Xenopus tropicalis: one gene and its partners. The protein of the gene in region 2 purifies or fractionates together with the protein of the main gene of each other region. This does not show direct contact. Links are inferred from orthologs where the notes say so. Each region holds a gene or a part of one and is shown on either strand. Other genes may lie near its edges.

Evidence for each region. The genes of interacting proteins can lie anywhere in the genome.
Region 1: the proteins of smurf1 (region 2) and stk38 purify together in Homo sapiens (affinity purification with western blotting; 3 studies listed by BioGRID, with this or other methods). This does not show direct contact. The link is inferred for Xenopus tropicalis from reciprocal best matches to the Homo sapiens genes SMURF1 and STK38.
Region 3: the proteins of smurf1 (region 2) and smad6 purify together in Homo sapiens (affinity purification with western blotting; 4 studies listed by BioGRID). This does not show direct contact. The link is inferred for Xenopus tropicalis from reciprocal best matches to the Homo sapiens genes SMURF1 and SMAD6.

The regions. Positions count from the first base shown.
Region 1 is NC_030678.2:53,265,652-53,269,403, forward strand, and holds the start of stk38 (serine/threonine-protein kinase 38), read left to right. Parts: upstream 1-1,176; 5' UTR 1,177-1,184; coding exon 1,185-1,277; intron 1,278-1,487; exon of another isoform or gene 1,488-1,690; intron 1,691-3,368; exon of another isoform or gene 3,369-3,461; intron 3,462-3,752. UniProt on the Homo sapiens protein: Serine/threonine-protein kinase that acts as a negative regulator of MAP3K1/2 signaling. Converts MAP3K2 from its phosphorylated form to its non-phosphorylated form and inhibits autophosphorylation of MAP3K2.
Region 2 is NC_030685.2:47,073,180-47,076,831, reverse strand, and holds part of smurf1 (E3 ubiquitin-protein ligase SMURF1), read left to right. Parts: intron 1-2,736; coding exon 2,737-2,975; intron 2,976-3,451; coding exon 3,452-3,536; intron 3,537-3,652. UniProt on the Homo sapiens protein: E3 ubiquitin-protein ligase that acts as a negative regulator of BMP signaling pathway. Mediates ubiquitination and degradation of SMAD1 and SMAD5, 2 receptor-regulated SMADs specific for the BMP pathway.
Region 3 is NC_030679.2:117,261,559-117,265,310, reverse strand, and holds the start of smad6 (mothers against decapentaplegic homolog 6), read right to left. Parts: upstream 2,114-3,752; 5' UTR 1,446-2,113; coding exon 1,052-1,445; intron 1-1,051. UniProt on the Homo sapiens protein: Transforming growth factor-beta superfamily receptors signaling occurs through the Smad family of intracellular mediators. SMAD6 is an inhibitory Smad (i-Smad) that negatively regulates signaling downstream of type I transforming growth factor-beta.

The DNA of each region.
Region 1 (3,752 bases), on a different chromosome or scaffold from region 2:
AAGTTTTGTAGTCGTTAATAAAAGTACGACTTTTTGGTGGAATAACGAATGTATCACAAAAAAGTCATCCTTTTTTTAACAATATTATCATTAACAGTAAGAAAAGTTCTAAATACAAATTTTTTCTAATCGTGGTCATCTTGCTTTAATGAATGGGTCCCTTTGTGTTACTTTAGGGTTGCCACCTGTTTGGTTTTGACCTGAACAGTTCAGGTTTTCTTAGGGCTGTTTGGATCACAACTGGCTGTTTAGGTTTTAACCGTGTGAAACCCAAACAATAACAGAGCTGTCAACTCTACTATTTTTTCAAGTTACCCCATTTTGGCTTCTCTTCCCTGGTCTCCCAGCACCCAATGGCATTTCCCTGATTTTTGCACATTCTAACAAAGTTTTTCTTAAAATTCCGGGAGCACATGCGCAGTAAGCATTCGGTGATGTCATAGAAAGCATATGCACATTCAGAAGGGCATGTATCGTCAACAATTTATGTGCACCACAGGATCTCCCCTACAGAGGAGCATCTGGGGTTGATAGTGCTGCAATAATCTAGCCAACAGGGCCGCCATCAGGGGGGGACAGGGGGGAAACTGTCCTGGGCCCCGTGGATTTTTAGGATCTTAGGGGGGCCTGGCCGTCCCGCACTTATTGTACAAGCCAGGGGGGTTGGGTTGCCACCTCTGCCAGCTTTCCTCACCAGGCAGGGGGCGGGAAGAGGTGGGGCTATGATGTCATGGGGCAGGGAAGAGTTGGGGCAGTGATGTCACGGGGTGGGGTTATGATGCAGCATTCGCCTATTGGCCAATCACCGCGTCAATGCGGACGGGCAAATAGGAACAGATCTGCCAATCAGTGGGAAGTGCCAGAACATAAGAGACTTTATGGGAAGTGAAATACACACAGAATAAAGACAGAGGGTTCAGCCTAGGATTTGGGGAGTTCCCTCGGTTTGAAAAAAAAAATCCTGTAATCTCAAGGTAGTGAGCTGGTTATAGTGCACACTAAAGGGGGCGTGGTCAAAAAATGTTGTACTTTGCACTTTCATGTTCATGGGGGGCCCTACTTCCTGATAGCGGCCCTGCTGCCAATAACCACCTTAACCAAGGTTAAGGCCCTGCCCCTACAAAGGCACAAACGCCCCCAAATATCATGGCCCCACAGCCCTCTTGTCACCGCTCTGCCCTCCAATGTCATCATCATCATCTTGTACATTTTTTATTGAGGGCAAAGGTGGCATCCCTATTACGAACTCACGCCAGCCAAGAGCTGTCAATTCATTGGTAAGTATTGTTCCTTCAGTACTGCCCTACAAGCCTTTTGCAACAATTGTAAAACAAGGGCACAGCTGCCTTAAATACTATAAATAATTACAATATTATTTAGCGCAACAAACTCGCTTATAACACACGGTAACTAAGCAACCTTTACCACACGTAAGAAATGACGTAGATCAAAGGTACTTTTGCCCGAGACAAATATGGCGGAGAAGGAGGCCCACGTTCTGCCTGTACTTCCGACGCAGAGTATTTGTTGACGCTGGTGCCGCGCAGTCAGTGCAGCTTTCAGCCGCTGCTTTGAGGGGAGTGTAATAAAGTTCTCTGTACAAGAAAGAGTGGGTGAACTCGTTGAGGTGATCGGTCGGGGTCCCAGTCCTCGGGCTGGAGTTGGGGGAGAAGGCAGGGTGCCGAAGCGGGTGAGTCGCGGCTTATTTACCTAATAGACCTCATGAGAGCACTAGTTTCTACACTGTTGTTTTCCTTTGAAATAGTGGGGTGTGTTGGGGTTTTTTGATGGGGGAGGATAGGTACTATCCTATGTTGTGGTTCTGTTTTTATTTTCAGGCGTTTGTGTCTTATTGTAGCGTACATTTATACGTGTATATGTCTGCGTGTGTGTGTTTGTCTCTTATATACGTATGTGTATGTATATATGTGTTTGTGTGTGTGTGTGTGTGTGTTTGTCTCTTATATAAGTGTGTGTGTGTGTGTGTGTGTGTGTGTGTATGTATGTATCTATATATATGTGTGTGTGTTGGTGCCTGTATATCTATGTTTCTTTATATTTGCATTTGTGAGCATCTCCTCATGGTTGTTTTAAGCCACACATTCTAGCACCCACAAACTGACAGCCAACAGACCTGTGTAGGCATCCAGCATAGTACAAGAATAATATTTAGACACTTAGGTCTCTATTGCCATGAGAATAGCCTGGAAGCCAGAGGTAACTTTTCTGTCAATTCTAACTGAAAAACATGGCAGCTCTGAGGGCTGTTTCAGGTGTTTGGTGCTGTGTGTTTGGGCTACTAAAATGTATGGTTAGGGAAAATTGTCAAAATAACCTGTGCTATTGTTCTAGAGGGCAATTACAACAGAAATGTCACATTTAGGGCCTTCTCTGTATAGTAAATAGTAGACATTTAAGAAGTTTAGAATACAATAGTTTCATTACATTTACTTATAAACTAGGATCAGTTGTAATTTATGGTTCCCTGCACCCCTAGTAGACTTAAATGTGAAATTCGATTGGTGCTGTCATGAATGCTGGGCATTGTTAATTATATAAAAAAAAATATGCATAAAATGAACAACATGCCTTTAACAGCTACGACCTTCTTTGTACAGACAATTCATATGTAAAGGCTCCGTTACACCTTTTTTATAGTTTATAAGCCAACAGTAGGATGGAAATTCCTTCACCTGATGTGGGAATGCCCCGAGGTAGCACTATACTGGACAGAAGTCACCCGCTACGTTAATGTATGTTTATCCTTTCCTGGAATCAGATTTCCTAGGACCTGTTTATTGGGTATAATCGATGAAACAGTGCCCTTACACAAATCTAGAACACTACTACGCTCTGTTATGTTCTATGCAAAAAAAAAGTTGGTGATCATGAAATAGATGGACCCCAATTCTTCTACAGTGGGTTTAACTAATAAATAGTACACTACACCTGATCAAACTGATACACAATGCTCGGGGTGTACCTGGGAATTTTCAGAAACTATGGTTAGGTGTGAACTCTCATATACCCCTACCAGATGATTGAACTCTATGTATAACCCGGGGTACACCCCCATAACCCAGTGCTACATACCTTTCCTTTGCTCAGTGTCACTGTGGATATGACGTAAACAATTGTACCCAACCTAAGTGCTAAACAAATCTGTAAATGTTTTGTTTTTTTTGTTTTGTTTTGTTCTGCAAAATGAAAATAAAAACAATAGGATGGAGTCTACCCTAATTGTATATTAAAGGGAACAAAATTCCATGCCTAGGAAACTTCTTTTGAAACCTGTGTAAACTGAGTAACTTTGCAAACTGCAACTTTTGCAATTTATGTAAAGCTCATGTTTTTATGCAATTTTGTAGGTGCATCTCTAGAGACTTCTATGACTGCTGTCTCGAAGAGGCAACTGATATCGCAGAAGGCTGCAGATATCGGTCAACTCGTCGATCGGCCAGGTTAGAAGATTTTGATCGGGCGCTATTGAAGGCTCCCGAGCAAAATCTACGTTCAGGGTTGGACGGTAGGAACGATCTTTTGTGCGAACAATGGTCGCAAGAAAGATTGGAATTGCTACGTGTATGGCCACCTTTTAGAATTATTTGAATCTGACCCATCCAGCTTCCCATTTTATTGCCAACTTTCATGTAAATTAAACTATTGCCTGCTGATGTTAGTATTTTAGTGTATTTTATATTTCTGTAGCCAGTCTGTGCAGATTATCCTATGCATGTGTAATTTTCTGATGC
Region 2 (3,652 bases):
CACTAGCAATGTTCTGCTTGCATTGGCGGGGAAGCTCCTGATGTGGGCGGCCATGTTTCCTCACGCACATACCATTAATGACAGACCCTGCAAACTGCCTGAAACTGCTTGCAAGTTACATATGTTTAAATTCAGTTCACACAGGTTCCTAACAGCATATACACAACACCTAAATTATAAATATATCTCTGCCCCCTAGGTGCTACCTGCGCACTTGCTGAGTTACCTCTATACAATGGGTCCTATGTGGATTAAAAGCAAAACAAGTCACCCCTGACTTACTCAGACTGACAGTTCTTCAGTGAATTGCTTAATATCCTGGTTTAATCACACTTTCCTTCACCATTAGCCACACTGGTTGTTTTTTCCACAAACAGGCAGCCTTCCTGCTCTTTGACTTGCTCATTACAATTAAATACCTTTTCAGAGGACAATCTTCTAATTATATGAGCTGGGTAGGTGGAATGGAGTGTGTTTTTGTTTTTACCATACCTTCCAAACACTTCAGCATCCAAAACCCAACAGCAAGATTCTCCAAACAAAGAAAATATATTTTCTTTTAAACAACAACTCTATACAGTATACAAAGCGTATATCTCCTTTTGGGGAGAAATTAAAGGCAAACCATGTCTTTTATCTTATTCCTGATAAGGAAAAAAGTTTTTACCTACTAAGATTTATCTATTTAAATTTTAAGAACCAGATGACCTTGTGAGGTTGTTTTTGACCTATAACAAGTTAGGGCTCTGGCACATGGGGTGATTAGTTTCCTCTCAAGGCAACTTCCGCAATTTCACTGAAATTGCGCTCCGTATGCCATCCCACCGGCGATTTACATTTTGCTGGTGGGATTTCGGGGAGATTAGTCGCCCACGAACAGGGAGATTTGTTGCGGGCAACTAATCTCCCTGTGTGCCAGAGCCCTTAAGAGGAAAGAGAAGACAACCCTTCCAAGGTCTATCCAATTTACTTTTCTTAAAGGAAAAAAGTACCTCTCCTGATCACTTAAGGTTACTTTTCCAAACAAAATGCTAGTGCTTTTTGTTATACTAATGCAATAGTATCCATTAATGCCGCCCCCCAATTTTATTAAAGTGACAAGTGCTGTAAATAAAGTTGTCTTTATATCAATAGTATAGAGGAAGAAAACTTAAATTATTCAGATTTCAGAATACCTAACAGGGATGCACTTGAACTACAACAAGAACAAACACCCTATAAAAGTCTATTCGACTATTAACTTCTCTAAATAAAATGTACGTGAGCAAATTTCACCAAATTCTACTAATTGCATGTTCCCAATATAATTAAAGTGACACGTGGTAAAGGTAGCTATAAAATCACTAGTGGTATTGTAACCAACTCAATTGACAACTAGGTCACTTGTGCTGAGATTAATCACACCCCCCCATTAAAAAAAAACCAAAAAAAAAAACCCCTTAAAATTCAATTAGAAAACTAATAAGCACTTGGAAAAGGTAATGAATGGAAGGGTGGAGATATCCCAGAGAAAACGCTCAATTTTTGCTAACTAATCCGTAGGGATACCACAAAGCTGGAGAAGTCAGGCACCCAGGGCTGTGGTCTCAAATGTACCTTTCCTATATCTCAATTGGAGAGGCTAAGTTAGGGCTCTGGTACACGGGGAGATTAGTCGCCCGCGGCAAAACTCCCTGCTTGCGGGTGACTAATCTCCCCGAGTTGCCTTCCCTCTGCCATCCCACCGGCGAACATGTAAGTCGCCGGCGGGATGGCAGACGCGGCGGCGCGATTTCGGGAAATCGCCGAAAAAGACTCGCGAGTCTTTTTCGGCGATTTGCGCGAAATCGCGCCGCCGCGTCTGCCATCCCGCCGGCGACTTACATGTTCGCCGGTGGGATGGCAGAGGGAAGGCAACTCGGGGAGATTAGTCGCCCGCGAGCAGGGAGTTTTGCCGTGGGCGACTAATCTCCCCGTGTACCAGAGCCCTTAACCTATAAAACACACAAACCCTGGGTACCTTAGAGATAAAGATTAGATAAGATTCTTGGAATGAAACAAAAAAAAAAAAGGCAAATTAGCCAGTTAAAAGGCCATAGCACACTCAGACTCCTACTGTTACCCTAAATTGCTACCTCAGCGTCTAGTTTAAGAGATTAAAAGGTTTTTGAAAAATGCCTGACGCATGTTTTGCCAGAGCTTTATCAAAGCAAATTTTTTTTGCCTTTGATAAAGTTCTGGTGAAACGTACATTAGGCATTTTTCTAAAACCTTTTAATGTTTTTTAATATTTGAGTTTTAACCAGATGTTGGTGTTAGCTAGCGATGAGGACATTTTTTGCACACGTCAAAAAAAATTGCTCACATAGTAGAATTCTTTGCTGTTTCACTAATTTTTCAGCAGCTTTGCAAACTTTTTGCAAACCAAACTGGACAGATTCACACATTACTAATGTTGGCATTTTAATATTTCTAATTTAGAGTCTGTCAGTAAAAAATATTAGAGATTAAAGCATAAAGCACTCAAGCAAATACAAAAAAGTAATAGAAAATAATGACTATTAAATGTGACAGATATAAACCATTATTTAAGATATGGTAATATTTCCATAGTTTGCCTTAAATGGATACTCCCCCTTCCCCCAGTTTCTGCTTTTGACTTGGAATGTTTTGACTGTGCCTCAGTCTAAACCATCCAATCTGCAGCATGTTTCCTTGCCTATATCCTGTAATGTATTGTATTTCATATATATTCAGAGCACTTTATGAAGATGCTGGGCCTGGCAGGCCCCTTAGTTGTTTCATGGATGAGCCAGCCCCTTATACTGATGGACCAGGTGCAGCTGGAGGAGGGCCCTGTAGGCTAGTAGAATCGCCAGGTCAAGAACAGAGACTCCAAGCACAGAGACTTCGTGGACCAGAAGTTAGAGAGCATGTCCAGACACCTTTAAATCGATCCCATGGGTACCAGTCACAGGACTTGCCTGAAGGTTATGGTAAGGAATTGTTTCCTTATTTAGTAAGGTAGATCTTTTCAGTATTTAAAAAGCACCTTATGTGCGTGGACATTTTCAAGATGGGGTTCCTTGTTTAGTTATACTGTGTTCAAAGCATCTTGTAAACTGACCATTAGCTACTCTCCAATATTGTGACTGCAGTCTACTTCTAAAACCACTTTTAAACCTAGAGGTAAATGTGTTTTTGGTCAGATGAAAACAGGTAACAATTTTTGCTGTATGGCAAGTATTTATAAAGGTATATAAAATATTTTACACCAAAAAGCAGTAGAAAATAGTTTCTAGTAAGATGCCCAAAAGTGAAGAGAGAACCTTCTGCTGTAACCAATACATGTGGTAAGGAACTATTTTAAATGTTTGACTCAATAATTTCATGTGTTCATTAAACATAAACACTTAACATAAAATTCTTAATATATTTAACAATATTTTGATGTATTTGCTTCTTTTTGTAGAACAAAGAACTACGGTTCAAGGGCAGGTGTATTTCTTGCACACACAAACTGGTGTCAGCACATGGCATGATCCCCGAATACCAAGGCAAGATACATTTATTTTTCTTCTTCTGCTGTTTATTATGGAATTGTAACTGTATTCTAGAAGACAATGGAAGAGTCAAGCTGATTCTGTGTGATATATTGAGAATAAACAGCTGT
Region 3 (3,752 bases), on a different chromosome or scaffold from region 2:
AATTTGCATCAAGGCGCTACCACTGCATGGGACCCCCTTCCCCCATGCCATTAGATTGGCTTCCGTGGACTATGGCCACAGAGTTTCAGGTCCCCCCTCAGTACTCACCAGGGTAGTAGGCCCCAGATCAGTCACACCCGTAGCTCCCTTAGTAGCTACACCACTAGGGACAAACCAGTCTGATGTGGACCATAATGCAGGTATCCAAGTTGGACAGCTTACCATACAAGTGGATCTTGTCATCTGTGCCCCATTTTTCAGCCCAGTATGATTGGTTAGGAGCAAATTGTTCTCGAGCAAAACCAGGCAGCCTATGAGGCCCTTAACAGACCACCATTCTGCCTCCAGCTATACTACGCTGATAATATTTTGGTTAATATGTAAGAGTTATGCCAGTGAGTGCTCCAAACAAAACTATAAATGCCCTATCACTATAATCAGGGTATCCAACCAGAGACCCCCTCCCCCAGCTGCTGACAGTGTTGGAAATGCTGGAAATTTTGGATCATTAATTTCCAGAGAGACCTAATGTCTAAACATCTCTAATAGCAAAAGAGCAATAAGGCACCTGTTAATGACATAGGATCTTTAGTTCAAATGACTTCATTAAAGTACATTCCTGGAAGAGAGGAACTAGAGTAATATGTAATTAGTGCTACATTTCCTGCAACCTCTTACCTATTAAAGAAGTGTAACAATAATGATAATATGTAGACAGCCTCCAGCTATTGGCAGGGCCAGAGATAAAGATGAAGGCACCCCGGGCAATAAACCAAAGCGGGTGCACTAACATGAGGGAAGCAGACTGTGTTTATTAGGGATGTCCTGTCTGTGCCCTTAGCCTGAGATTATAGAAGCTGAACTACAACTCCCAGCATCCTGGCTTCTACCTGTTGTATTAAAACAACCTGAGGGGCCATGGGACAGACATCACTCACAGGAATTTGCTGGACACTGTGCAATAGTGATAGAGACATAATCTGCACAAGGGATGCTCCAGGCTCTCCCCTAGCCTAGCAGGGGCTGTTAGGAAGGATGCATTGGCACTCACCCGGTCCGCACACCCTGCTGTAATGGTAGGGGTTGCAGCACACACTGTTATTCTCCGAGCCCCCGGCTCCCTGGCACCCACACAAGGCTTTCAGTTGCCCGGGATGCTGCAGCTCTGGCCAGCGGAAGAGTCTGCACAAGAGCAGGTGAGGGGGGGGCCCGTGTCGGGTCACACACACACACCCTCCGGGCGCTGCACCCCGGGACTCCACGGCCTCCAGCAGGGCGCACAGGGCTTGCTCTTTCAGTCGCTTCAGGATCGCAGAAGCAGCGGCGCGGAGCTCCGGGGAGCCAGAGGGCTGCTCCGACAGACCGCAGCAAGAGACACCTCCATCCCCGCCCGCCCGGCTCCTCCACAGGCGCCGAACCAGCCCGGTGCGTCTGGACCTGAACATGCGGCGCGCCCCCGAGGGTGCGCCCGGCTCTCCGGTGCCTCAGTGCCCGGGGCCAACTAGAAGGGTCGGCATGGGGGAAGAGCGCTCTCTCCTGTGCCAGTCTCTCCGGTGCCCGCACGGATAGAGAGTCAGTCGGCTGGGCACGTATTGGGGTGTCCCCCTCCCGGGTCACATCTCGGAAGGCTGCTTCTCCAGACGGAACCCCCACGGCTGTCACATGGCGGTACTCACGGCACAGGGCATCCAGCAGGGGCACGGAGACTGGGCGCAGCGGGATGCTCCGGAGAAGGATGCTGAACGCTGGATAGAGCGGGGCTGCGGGGTATTTGCACGGCTCTAGCCCTTACACTCCCGGGGATTGCAGCCTACTGCAGCCGGGCTTGTGGCGCTCTCACACACTGCACATTGCTGCTACCGTCCCGCACAGGCTTCCTTTCTCTATCGGCTTGCACTGCGCACACTTCCTAGTAGGCTCCCCGCTCCGGTCCCCTGGGTTCCTCTCAGCTTCCCCGATAGCAGTAGGCGCTTCACTCTGTTGCTCCGGTCCCTGCACACACTGATCCCTGCTCTTTGTGCTCACCCTCTCTCACTCACTCGGGCCCACTGAAAGCATTCCCATTGGCTGTTCCCTGTCACATGGCAGTCTAGACACTTTGGCGGCTCCGCTGCACTGACTGTTGCGCAAACAAATCTCAAGTTTCTTAACTCTTAAAGGAGCCACAGTCCTTTCCCAATTCTTAAAATTGCCCTATTACCTTCACAAACGTCCCACACTTTTTACCAAATACATTTTTTTAAAGCAGTGCTTTTATTTGGTGCTGAGCAGATAATCGCTGGGTCATTTACTTATTATAACTAGATGCTTGGGGTTTCCATCATTTCACCCCAGGGCAGAGATGCTCACCTTGTGGCACACTAGCTGCTGTTGAACTACAACAATGGCTGTATGGGGTGCTGTACATTCTATTGGACCGGTACATGGAGTCTCCTGCCCTTTTACTTTCATTTCTTAATATGTATTTGTTAGCGATGGATGATACAGAACCAAAAAAACTAAATACAAAAAAGCAGATGAGAATGTATGTGGAAAACAATGAATATCAGCAAATATATAGAAAGTGAGAAATATGTTCTCCTTGCACCCTGAAGCTCAGCTCTTTGCACTTCTAGAATAGAGCAAAGTGAGTAGTGTTTTTTCACTATAGGGCTAAGACAGGAGCTACTTGTAGCAGATACAAAAATACACAATGCTGTCAATTTACTGATAATTGTCTCTGTGTATTTTAGCAAAGGCAATTCTCAGTATTGTCTATGGCAGGGTATTTTCTGGTGTTTTGTAGCTGTGACAAGTAGCTGCTACTAAGTAGCTCCAAGTGTCTAAAGGTCCCCATACACGGGCAGATTGTAGCTGCCGATATCGGTCCCTTGGACCGATTCGGCAGCTTATCTGCCCATTTAGGGGCAGAAACGAGGGGCCTGGCCGACCGATATCTGGCCTGAAATTGGCCAGATCTCGATCGGCCAGGTTAGAAAATTCAGTTGGATCAGGGACCGTATTGGCCCGTTGATGCGGTCCCCGAACCGACTGCCCCTTGCCGCCAGTATAATTCGATCGTTTGGCCCCGATATGACATCCCACCGGTGAGAATATAAATCGCTGGTGGGATGGCATACATTGCCTTAAGAGGAACCTTCCGCGATTTTAGGGAAATCGCAGCACCGCGTATGCCATCCCACCGGCTATTTACATTCTCATATCGGGGCTGTGGCACACGGGGAGATTAGTCGCCAGTGACAAATCTTCCTTGTCATGGGCAACTAATCTCCACATGTGCCACAGCCCTAAGGGCGAAGACACATGGGCAATTAGGGACTTAACTTCCATAGGCAACAATCAGCACGACTAATGGCGCAACAATTTGCGCTAATTTGTCACCATGACAAGTAGCAGCAACTAATCGCCCCATGTGTCTTCACCCTTTGGCTAATGCCACACAAAGTCTATGGCGCATGTTTTTGGCAAGCAGAAAAAACACTTGCCGAGAATACACATAAAACTCCCCCTACCTGTGCCTGCACCTGAATGAATTGAATATGCTCAGCTGCAGGCACGTCGCCAATATCTGCATAAAAACGCAAGAAACTGCAAAGTCTCATGTTTTTATGCAGATATCGGCAACAAGTTTCTGCACCCGAGCGTATTCAGTTCATTTGGGTAGAGGCACAGGTAGGAGCCTATGGAGCATATTTTCAGCAAGCGTTTTTGGCTTGCTGAAAATATGCGCCATACGCTATGTGTGGCATTAG